3 linked regions of the Oreochromis niloticus genome follow. The protein of the gene in region 2 purifies or fractionates together with the protein of the main gene of each other region. This does not show direct contact. Links are inferred from orthologs where the notes say so. Each region holds a gene or a part of one and is shown on either strand. Other genes may lie near its edges.

The links.
Region 1: the proteins of vapal (region 2) and miga2 purify together in Homo sapiens (co-immunoprecipitation; 3 studies listed by BioGRID and IntAct, counting the BioPlex papers as one, with this or other methods). This does not show direct contact. The link is inferred for Oreochromis niloticus from reciprocal best matches to the Homo sapiens genes VAPA and MIGA2.
Region 3: the proteins of vapal (region 2) and acbd5a purify together in Homo sapiens (co-immunoprecipitation; 4 studies listed by BioGRID and IntAct, counting the BioPlex papers as one, with this or other methods). This does not show direct contact. The link is inferred for Oreochromis niloticus from reciprocal best matches to the Homo sapiens genes VAPA and ACBD5.

Annotation. Positions count from the first base shown.
Region 1 is NC_031972.2:16,050,665-16,054,417, reverse strand, and holds the start of miga2 (mitoguardin 2), read right to left. Parts: upstream 2,453-3,753; 5' UTR 2,304-2,452; intron 1,530-2,303; 5' UTR 1,390-1,529; coding exon 1,294-1,389; intron 1,216-1,293; coding exon 1,005-1,215; intron 880-1,004; coding exon 764-879; intron 650-763; coding exon 529-649; intron 59-528; coding exon 1-58. Other genes in the region: st6galnac4 (alpha-N-acetyl-neuraminyl-2,3-beta-galactosyl-1,3-N-acetyl-galactosaminide alpha-2,6-sialyltransferase), read left to right, coding at 3,491-3,502, 3,604-3,750. UniProt on the Homo sapiens protein: Regulator of mitochondrial fusion: acts by forming homo- and heterodimers at the mitochondrial outer membrane and facilitating the formation of PLD6/MitoPLD dimers. May act by regulating phospholipid metabolism via PLD6/MitoPLD.
Region 2 is NC_031982.2:24,673,336-24,677,088, forward strand, and holds the start of vapal (VAMP (vesicle-associated membrane protein)-associated protein A, like), read right to left. Parts: upstream 2,286-3,753; 5' UTR 2,187-2,285; coding exon 2,129-2,186; intron 1-2,128. UniProt on the Homo sapiens protein: Endoplasmic reticulum (ER)-anchored protein that mediates the formation of contact sites between the ER and endosomes via interaction with FFAT motif-containing proteins such as STARD3 or WDR44.
Region 3 is NC_031974.2:12,561,874-12,565,626, reverse strand, and holds the start of acbd5a (acyl-CoA-binding domain-containing protein 5A), read right to left. Parts: upstream 2,334-3,753; 5' UTR 2,179-2,333; exon of another isoform or gene 2,178-2,178; intron 1,834-2,177; 5' UTR 1,793-1,833; coding exon 1,696-1,792; intron 1,455-1,695; coding exon 1,334-1,454; intron 13-1,333; coding exon 1-12. UniProt on the Homo sapiens protein: Acyl-CoA binding protein which acts as the peroxisome receptor for pexophagy but is dispensable for aggrephagy and nonselective autophagy. Binds medium- and long-chain acyl-CoA esters.

The sequences.
Region 1 (3,753 bases), on a different chromosome or scaffold from region 2:
TGGCGAATATTCAGTGCCTGTTCCCACTTTCGCAGAGCCTCCTCAAACAGCTCCATGCCTAGCACGAAGAGAACATTTGAATCCCAACATTGTCTGGCGTTATGCCCCCTCTTACATGTAGTACACAGCAGTTCAATTCACACATGGGCTCAGTGAGATTTTACATAGACTAAAACCTGCTGTATGTCAGTCCAATTCATTCAAACATCACTCACATACAGTCCCCCAGTTAATTAAAAGAGTAATTAAAGGCTGTGTGAAAACAGTTTTAAGCACATTACTCGTAAGGTGAAAAATAATGGTACTGCACTACAAATCTACAGAGTTACAGGAACTGGTATTTTTGCATCAAATTGATACTGATTAATATTGGTTGCATGTAATTATAGATAGCTTGTGCTCTAATGTCATCTTCAAATAGTGAAAAGACAAAAAAAAAAAAAAAGTGGCTTTACGCTGTTTTTTATATTAAAAAATAAAAACAAACAAAAAAAACCCACAAGTTTTAGTGAATATGTGAATACTTACCCATTAAATAGAGATTCTCTGCATTAGCATCCTCTACTGCCCCTGACTCTTCCACCACAGGCTCTGCCTCCCATGGGGTGGATGGATTGGCAGACTGATTTGGAGAGCTTGGGACTCGCGTCTACGTCGGAAATGTGCATGCAAACACATATACACCCGAAGATGGTGAAAAAAATAATAATAAGTCAAAAATAAAGCAAACACAACAAAAAAAAAAAAAAAGTATAAAACTTACAGATGCCAGGCTGTGTGATGAACTTGAGTGTTTACTGGGAGCCAGGGAGGAAATTCCACTCATCGTATCATTGCTTCGAGTGCTGGGACTCATCATCTGTCGACCAGTAAACGGGGCTGTCCCAAAAGAAAAACATTTCCTCATTGAATGTTTCACAGCAACCACTGCTGAAAGACGCTAAACAGCCCGTAACAACAACAACAACAACAAAAAGAAGAAACATAATATTCTGTCTTCACACCTCTCTTTAATGATGAGGGCCGTCCTGTCTTCATGAGCGACTCTGGTATTCCCACTGTCTTCTGGCCATCCTTTTCTTGTGTTCCCTGCTTCCTCTTTCTTCCTCGCCTTTTTAACTGATGAGCAGTGAGAGCTAGAGCTACACTGCCCAGCGCTGTGGCAAACAGCACCTTCTTCAGGCTCGGTGTAAGCCTCAGCTGGGAAAATATGGACTGAAAGCAAAAGAAGCAGTGAGGATACGACCAAACATAGCGTACACTCTGTGTGTGCATGTGTATAAAGGGATTTACCTGCCCAAATGTGGAATAGAGAAAGACGGGTATCTCTGCTACAGTCATGGCCAAAGCCTGAGCGATGGACATCCCTTCTCCTCGTCTCATTGACATCTCAAGAATTATAATGCCTTCAGGCCACAGCAAAAATTAAGTTTCCCCTCTGGTCTGAGATCAGCCAGCTCAGGACCTGCTGATGAACCATCCGTAATCAACCACTCTCTCGTCCAGTGGCTGACTGCAGTCGTGTTGTTCTACAACAGATAGAACACAAGGTTTTTACCTAAGTGTAGGTGCTTTTAACTGCACGACCATTATAATAGCAGCTATCAGTTCAAACTATTTTCACTGTACTACTCTCCAGACACAGATTTAACTTGTACAGGTTTATGGTTTGACCTGGAAGGCGAGCAGACTGACACGCTGCCAGCTACTACTTAACCAGTCTGGAGTGTCTGGTATGCAAATAGGCAACAAGCACGCCATTCAACATACTGTACGAGACAAAGCCTCACAAAAGATAGTAGTTGTAGCTTCAATATGAGAAACTGGGTGACTTTCTATATCTCTGAAGCAAACTAGTGTACATAAAGCACAACTATGTTCCATACAGACTGAAGTTATCGACAACAAGGCTGCTAGTTGATAGAAATTTGACAATATGTTAAAGCGAAAGCTAGCTGTTAGCCAGTTCAGGAAGTAGAAAACAGTAATTTTCCTGACACAATTTATTTTAGAGCTTTCCCATAAATTCAACAGTAGGGTTTATGTCTGTCTTTAAAGCTCGAGTCAATGACAGCTAAATATTAGCACTGGCAAGGATGAAACTGTCTTTTTAGAGGAGCATATGCTAACGTTAGCTAGCTTATTCGGCTAGCCTTATCTGTCATTCCGCATCATAGCATCACCAGGTCAGGCTGGCTTCAGAGCAAAGTCTGTGAGCTGACACCTTACAGACTTCAAGGCGGCTTTGTGTGCAGCTTCCCCAGAGGCGCAACTAATAACATAATCCCTGCGTAGGTACATACCGTGATCATCCGAGGCGTCAAGGAAGGACATCCCCGTGTCACAGTCAGTGAAAGTCGCACGGTGGATTCTTTTTTTTCTCCTAACGCCCTACGTAGTTAACGCAAGAATACAGACACGGACACGGGCCAGTCGGGTGAGGTGTGAAGATAGTTACCTACTTCTTGACCAATCGGAGAAAAGGTGAGGCGGGGCAAAAACTTTTCTAATCCAATCACATATTGGTTCTTGAAATATCGTCACTCTATCCTGATCAAACAGAAGCGAAATGCTGCTAGAAAGTTCAAGGCGGTATATATACTTGGTAATTAGAAATAATGCTAAAGTGACATAATTGGGTTACGTTTGGCGAAATCTAGAGAATTATCATATTCTTAATTATATTCTTAAGGCCATAACATCGGAGTCAGGCTACTAGAATAGTATAACGAGAAAAAGTCTTGGGACGGCGTAGTTTCACCATCTGAAAAATGTTTATAAATTACTTTCCTTCTATTGTGGGAAAGAGAGTTTACGAGGGGTACTGGAACGCAGCATTGACGGCTACTTTAAAGTAACCAAAAGTATTAAGAAGACTGTTTCCGGTTTTGGCATGTTTCTTTCAGAATAAAGGAGTGATTACGCGCCAGTACATCTAATGTCATTATATTAATTTAAATTCTAACAATAATAAAAAAAAATTATACCATAGTTGTTTATATAGTTAAAGTCATAGTTATTATAACTATTGTTATTAAAGTTACAGTTATTTCTGGTAAGTAATGTTTTTTATCAAGTTTGTTCAGGTGATAGTTTGTTGTGAAATAGTCGCTCCGGAAGTCGTATTCTGTAAAGACGGGCAACGTTATAATTTACAAGGCGGGTCCTAGGAATTGTTTGTAGGGTACTGTGTCAACAAAGCTGGGGAAGAAACGAGCAGCTTCACAGTTTTGAGATGGTAGTGCATGTAAACATGGTGCAAATAAGACTAGAATAATGAGCTCGGCTACGTGATGAAAACGAAAGTAATCGCACAAAGAAACGGATACTTGAATTTGACAGATCTGGAAACGCAATTAAAAATCTTTTGATATGGAACCTTTGTGATCATGAATCGACGGTGGCTGACTGGGCACGTCTCTCTCGGGTCGGCGTGAAAAATGAGTGTCGTTCGGGCCATTGAACGCAGGGGTTTCCCGAAGGCCTTGATATGAACGTTCTGGTAAGAGTCACTCGCTTATTTAACCGATAAACAGTGGATGTTCAATAATGTGTGCGTAGCTGCACTACCCTAACATTCATACATGTTATCCGCCTGTGCAGATGCTTCGCTGGCTTTGCCTGCTCACCCTGAGCCTCCCTCTGTTGTTTTGGGTTGGACATGTGATGATACGGGACGGCCCATCACCTGCTGCGGGCAGAAAGGCACTCGAGGGCTACACGAGGATCAAGCCCGGCAGAACGGACCAGGTG
Region 2 (3,753 bases):
AGAATAAAATGAATCAATGATGATCAGTAAACAATGATCAGTATGAACAGCATCATACTAATGCAATTTAGCTTTGCATCCAATCCAGAATATAAAAGGCCAAAAGTTTAATCTGATGAGGGAAAATGTAAACCGTGTGACTGATCAGTAACAGGAATAAGTCAAATTAGAGTAGAATTTCTTAATCGGGTAAAAAAAAGTAGAGGTCCATGATCAGATTATGACGAACCATGTGTCTACCATCAGGCTAAATACCCATGAAATTTTAACGTTCAGCTGGAGAAAATTTCATTTATGTATTCTGGTTTACCTTGTTGCTCCCAAAAAAACAACCTGTCTGAGACAAATAACACTATTGGTGGCTTTCCAACAATATGATTGAAGAATTTTATCATAATAGCACCATTAACCTGTTGATTGATGCTGTTATTATGACATAACAAATGTGAGTTTAATCAAATGGTTACTACCCTTTTCCAGATGTCTTTAAACTTAAGCCAGAGCAAGTTTTTACTGATTTACATCCTTATCCCTGTCCAATTACAATGTCAGCCTGCTGGAAAAGGCTCCATTCACCATCACACTTTCTGTTGCACCTTGCATGATAAAAACATTCCCGGATTTTAATCAATGTACACAAATTTTATGAGTTTCAGTTTTAACATGAGGGTTTTTTTGGGGGGGGGTTGCCTTTATTCTACTTGTGTCACCGTCAGGCAAAATAATACAGGCAAAATAATAATAATTTTAGTTTCACCCTGGACACCTCATCACCAAAACATTCAAATTATTACACCCCACCCAAAGACACAGTGGGTCTGGAATGTGAGCTTGTGTCCTTCCTAACGATCCTGTCAGGCTACAACCAGTATCAATTCACACCTTGTCCCAACACCAGTGTCCTCTTATAACCTCGTCCAGGACAGTGGTACATTCAACAGAAAGAGAAATAACTGTCTAGTTCGCAAAAATGCCTCCAGCAGACACAGAGCTTGGTAACTGGGACAAATACGAGAAGTGCTGTGCGGATTTCTGGGTCAAAATGAATAATGATGAGGATAAATAGTCCAACTGTGGAGATTGTTGTGTCACCCATGGCCTGGTAGGGCTAGCTTCATTGAAATCAGCGCCGTTTACTGCCACTTCATTCACTTGACCACAAGAGCAACAGTTGGACTCACAAATGACCAAAAGTTATGTTCTATCTATGACTTTTAAAAAATGTGATTTTTGGTCTCTTCAGGTCTGTCAGACGCAAAACAATACGGTTATACAACTACACATCAACTTTGGCATTAGCAGGCTAGCCAATGCTATCATTAGCCAACGGTTAACTGACACATCACTGGACGTTATCACTACCAGGAAAAGCAATCAGTGCCAACCGAATACGTGAAGCACCCTGCTTTCCCATGAATGTGCCGTCCTGTTTTGTCCAGGATGCGAACACACGCTTAAAATTAGCCAACATTTAGCTAATAGGTTTAGATCAACTGAACTAATGTTAGCCCGGTGTTGCTATTAAAAAAAATAAATAAACTATACATGCTGTTACAGTTCACGTTAGCTAACCAAGTTTGTCATTCCAACTGTCAGCCACTTTACTGGCTTCACAAGTTCCTGCCACAGGTGTATCAAGATGAACGCCGGATTTTTCATTCTGAAATTAATTTCTTTCCAGGGAATAGCCTAAGCCCCAAGAAACAACAGTTTACTCCTGCTAACACAACTAGCAACAGCATAGTAGCTGATATTAAATGTGAAGACATACACAAACATGCTTCTTAACGTGTAGACTTTAACTCTCCTTTTTTTAAGCAGTCACTGACAGCCACATCCTTCCAGCTCTTTGCCTGGTACTGTCAGTAAGCTGGTACTGAATAGCAGGCCACCTGGGCGCACGCCTGCCCGGCTATCCACGTCACTATAGCGCCGGGCTGCAGCGGCCCGTCCGGCTCCCTGGCTAACTTAAAATGGCGGTGAATGCTAGCTAGCTTGCTAGCACGAAATTCGCTTGAGGGAGTGTGAAATCATTGCTTCACCACCACTACTACTACTACTACTACTCGCTGGACATTTTACACGGCAACAACTAAATAAATAAATAAATAATAGTTCATTCACATACCTTTAAATCTGAGGTCAGACGGAGGGTCGAGGATAAGGATCTGATCCAACTTTGACATGTTGGCTGAAGGGATGCACTTGATTTCGGTATCGTGGAGTTAACTGACAAGTGGAAATCCTGGATCCCTTCTGCCTCTACTGAGTCAAACGCTGACTGAGCTCAGCGAGCATGTGGGTACAAATACTTGAACGCGCGAGTGCACAGCCCTCTGTTGCGCGCACTCGTGGTCTGGCAACTGATGCGATTATGGTACAGTAAACGAGTTATAATGTGTGGACACTGAGATAGACGTACAGGGAAGGAAAAACATGTTATAAAATAATCTTATAAAATCCCGACGTGACCGGTACCAAGTTAAATTGTGCTTTATTGATTTAATCGAGAATTTTAATCAAGGAAGTCTCATAATCGCGTGTCTGCAATATACTGTACATGCACATTAAATTCACTCTGCAATAGTCTAGTTAAACCTGTTAGAAGTATTAGTGAACGTACATGTAACGTAAATGTAAGTGTTGTTTGTGATTTAAAGGACATGTTGAGGTTGCTGTGTAGCACGGGTCACACGTTGCCCTGGTAACAGTACCGGTGTTGTGCCAAAAACTGGTCAGCCTTTAAACCTGCTTGTTTACGACGTAAACAATGGGTACATTCAAACTAAACCACAGATTACTAAACCGGTAGTCCCTTAGTAGTATCTTATTTTCACAGAAGTGATTTTTTTCCATCAGTGCAAAGTTTCATGATTCGGGATATCAGTCAATCCCTGCACAACCTCAGTTCCTAAAACATTAGGCTATTTTAGATTTGGAGATCTTATAACCCCATGATTTTAACCACTATTTTTAACAACAGTTGTATCCCTCTGGGAACTGGGGAGACCAGTTGGTGGACTTTAGGGAGAGGAATGTCGCCTGGTTGTTGTCTGATATACGACTCTAGCTGCTCAAAAATTCCAGGTCTTCTTCTTTGTTTTTACTTTTCATTTCATTATGCTCATAATGCTTTCCATGGGTGAAAAGTCTGATATACAGGCAGGCCAGGTCAGCACCTGGACTCTTCTCCTACTAAGGCAGTAATCAGATTAGCATAGTCTGAAATATGCAAAGCTTTTCCTGAAAGAGGACGTCATCTGGATGGGAGCTTTATGTTGCTCTAAAAAGTGTATATACCTTTCAGCAGTGATGATTGCTTTTCCACCTGGAAAAAGGTGTTACACAAGCTCCCAGTTACACAAGCATTAATTCCCAGACAGTGATTTCTGGAAGTGTTCCTGAGCCCACTCAGTGATTTCCATGACAGAATCATGACTTTTTTTTGATGCAGTGCTGCTTGAACGCAGACTGGTGACCTTCTACCCATCTTTACTTCTCAGAACTTTGCTGCTCTAAGATAATTTTTTAAAATCCAGTCACTGTCACTGACCAACTAACCTAACTACTGTAGTTTGAAAATCTTCCTTCAGCTGTTTCTTTTTTAATTAATACTGAAGTCAGTGCAGAAAAACACCAACTGGCCTAGGAGAACTCTTTCTAAAAGAGAAAAAAAACACTTTTTATTCGAGAGACAAAACTCAACACATTTTGGGCCATCATGTGAGCGTAGATGAAAAGGGGAATGCTAAA
Region 3 (3,753 bases), on a different chromosome or scaffold from region 2:
TTCCAGGCGTCCCTATCACAATAAATACATAAATAAAATAAATAAAAGCAAGCAAAAGAAAAAAACATGCACTGTTATATAATTTTATAAGGTGGAACACACAGAAGAGCAAAACAGCAAAAGTGTGTTTGAAGGCCTTTGTGCCAGTTCCAGTTTTCAGCTGAGTCAATATGGAAAGACTATTTGAGGACACCAACTAATTTACTAACTTTGGATCACAGTCTGGCAGACACTTAAACATTCACTAGAAACTGTACCTACCCATGAAATATGTGTTTATTTAACCTTTAATTAACCAAGAAAATATCATGTTTAAGATTAAAAATAACTTTTTCAAGGGTGTCCTGGCCAGAACAGGCAGCGGTGCAATCAGCAGCTACATAGAAACCAGGCCAAAAACAGGGCAGGAGAGTTCAAGCAACTGCCTCAAAGTCCTTTAAAATTCATTTATGAGACCACATGCTTAACAGGTACAAACAAACTGACCTTTTTGGAATTAATCAAGTTATCTGAATCTATTTTTTTTTTTTTACCCCAAAATGACAAATTCAATTTTAAGGAAAGACAGAAGGAATAATTCTTGAGACCAAAAACAGTAACATCCTGCACTTTTTTGACCAAACTAGTAGATTAAAAACAGACTTGCAAATAAGAATATAGCTATATCTGAGTCTACAGAAGGACAAAGCAGATCACGGTGAGCAAGGGCTTAAGGTTTATGATCAAACTCAATGCTTCGAGACTGACAGTATCCAGCGTGTGTAAAGCACTGAGAAAACACACAGGCACAAGCCCCTCCTTGAGAGAAACTGTCCAGCTTTGTGGGTAAGAGGTCACCGATAAATTTTAATGAGTCCAGAGATCACCTGACACAGCCTGAGCTTAACAGAGTGAGATTTTCATTTCTGAATATCACAAGCTGTCTTGATGTGACCGCCAAAGAATGATAAAATATGATAAAACATAACAGCAACAGGGTTTGTGTCTGGGGGACTATTCTTAGAAGTACACTGATCCACAGAGATTTAAAACAAGCAGTGTGGGGAAGCTTGCTTCACAGAAGTGCATGCATCTTCCTGTTACACCATTAGTGCAGGAGAAATAGAATAGACTATAATAACTTTATTACTCACATTGAGGGAAAATTGTCTTTGGTTCACCAAGCCATAAACAAATCAAACAAATCATAGCAACACAGCATCTAATTATTTAGTATACTGATTGCTCTTGGCACAAATTATTCCTTTTATGCCCTGAAATCACATTTTTTTCCCCATAGAATTGAGTTCTGAAGGAATCCTAAGCGCACAACCACCACCGCCCCCTAACTTACCATTTCGCCTTTCCAACTACATCCCAGAAGCTAGGTCGGGGTATGTTGCATGGTCCCACAGTGGCCTGTTTATAGTAGCTGTAGAACTTGAGCATCATGTCATTGGAGGGCTGAAAGGGACCTGAGGAAAAGAAAACTCTCATCACATAAAAAGCCTTACCCTCCACGTGCAGAGTTGTGGCTGATTTCTATTTCTTTCAAATCTGTGATGGCTTGGGGACAAAGCAAGCAGGCCAAAGTGGATTATTTAAATCGCACAAGCTGCTGCACCGCACCTGCCCGGGGGTGGCTGAGCTGGTTGAACTGGCCTGTGTGTGTGTCTGTGTGAGAGAAAGAGAGCTTCTAGTGAGGTGTTCACTCACCATTCGGGGGTAAACTCTTGATCACCTTCACGGCGGCATCAAACCTCATCTGGGTTAGGCGCCCTTCATCTTCCACGCGGACACTCTCCACCTCCATCGTGTCACTCGCAGACAGCACAACAACAACAACAACAACACCTGCAAGCAGTAAACAAAGTCACGACAACTGCAAAAAAAAAACAAAAATAAAATGTTCAAAGCGTTTGTTTATAGCATCTATGCTAGCTCTGAGCAGCAGTTTGGTTTGTTTTCGTCTGTAAATGAGCAGACTTTCGCGACGCTAATGCGACCAGCTACACTTGAAAGTTAACTGTCTACAGTATGTTATGACCACCAGTAGGAGGAGGCTGAGCCAGTTGGATATCTAGGACACAACGTTTAACGTGTGGCACAGCTTTAGCGACACTGTCGTTTCCACTAAACGGTATCTACACTGACACACTTTCGAGAAAAAAAACAACGCTTAAAACCGCCGTTACTTACCGTTAAAATCACGGGCCTATCTGTTTGTCAGAAGGCGACTTGTCATTAGCCCTTGACCAGACGCCATGAACAGCACACACTGTGGGAATTGTAGTCTTATTGTTGCATTTCGCTGAATATCGATGGCGCCTACAAACTCCACAATCCTCTGCGTCCACATGAAGAAAACAAACAATAAACGTCTGTGAAAATATGGTTTAGATATGAAAACAACATATTAAAGTCAAACGAGTGAGAAAGCTGATGAGAAGTGAAATATATAATGTTACTTCACTCTTATGGCTGAAAACACAAACTCATGTCGCGACAGTTCGACACGTAAAACTACACATCCCAACATGCTCTAGATAGATCCATGTTTTTTCTTTTTTTCCCTCCCTCTTCGTTGGAAGACTGATAGGTCGACAGCAGAAAAAAGCTAGAGCTCTCACTTTGTCCTTAAATCCTTCAGACAGATAAGATGCAACACTGCTGAACGCGATCCTACAATAACTGCATGCAATATTCTTCTACCTAATTCCGCGTCCACACCTCGCGACATACATTCTCATGTAAAGTGGAAATACATTACATATACACATTACATATACATACCCTGCTAATATATATACCCACATCTGTATGGGTATGTACATCTTTCTGTATCTGTGGTTCAGTATCAACTCAGGGCTAGAGGTATGCTTAAAACATAAATAAATACATAAAATATTTTCTTCAAATCAAATCAAAATTCTTTATATTTTGCTTCCAAGTAGCCAGATGTTCTTGTATTATTATTTTTTAAGTGGTCTTGAGCAAAAGTTCTCCAGGCTTTCTGAATTCTTTCTACGTTTTTCTTTGGGTATGGGCTGCTGGGGATTTTTTTTCTGTTCATTAAACCCCTCATAAAACTGATCTGTGCATCATTTAAGCATAAGAAAAGATACTCAACTCAAGAGAGGACCAACTGTTGTATCTATGCATAACAGACGAATTAGTAGACAATCAAGTGTATTATAATTGTACAAACTGGTTCTGCCTTTCATGCTATATTTCCATGTATGTTTGCTCATGTTTCAATAACATGTTTCACATTTTCCAGGAAAAATATCTAGAAATGAAGGCTGGGTCAAAATTTTGCTTAGTATTGTCACAACAATGAATTTAAAAATGTCTAAAAAATGTTCTATTCATTTTAAAAATGTACCGTTTTCTCTGTTGTTATAAAAATGTTGCCATTTAGAATATTGTAGAATATACTGCAATAAGATAACGTTTTATTCTGCACAATTTCCTTCAAAAAATAAAATAATAACTCAACTAAAATTACTTTCTTTATTCCAAAATTACCATTTTCATCCAAAGTGAATTAAAATTTCTAAGTAAAACTGGCCAAATACATATATTCACCGTAAATGATCAATTTGGCTTTTTTTTCTCCTAATATATCTCAGATACTCTCAAATACGCTTGTTCCTCCTGTCCCTTGTGCGGAATTAAAATGAAATAAAATCGAGAGTAAAATGTTCGCACACAATATTGCGGATGTAGTGAGCCTCCTCACTGGTACACACGATCTTCGCTTTGAGGTTACGC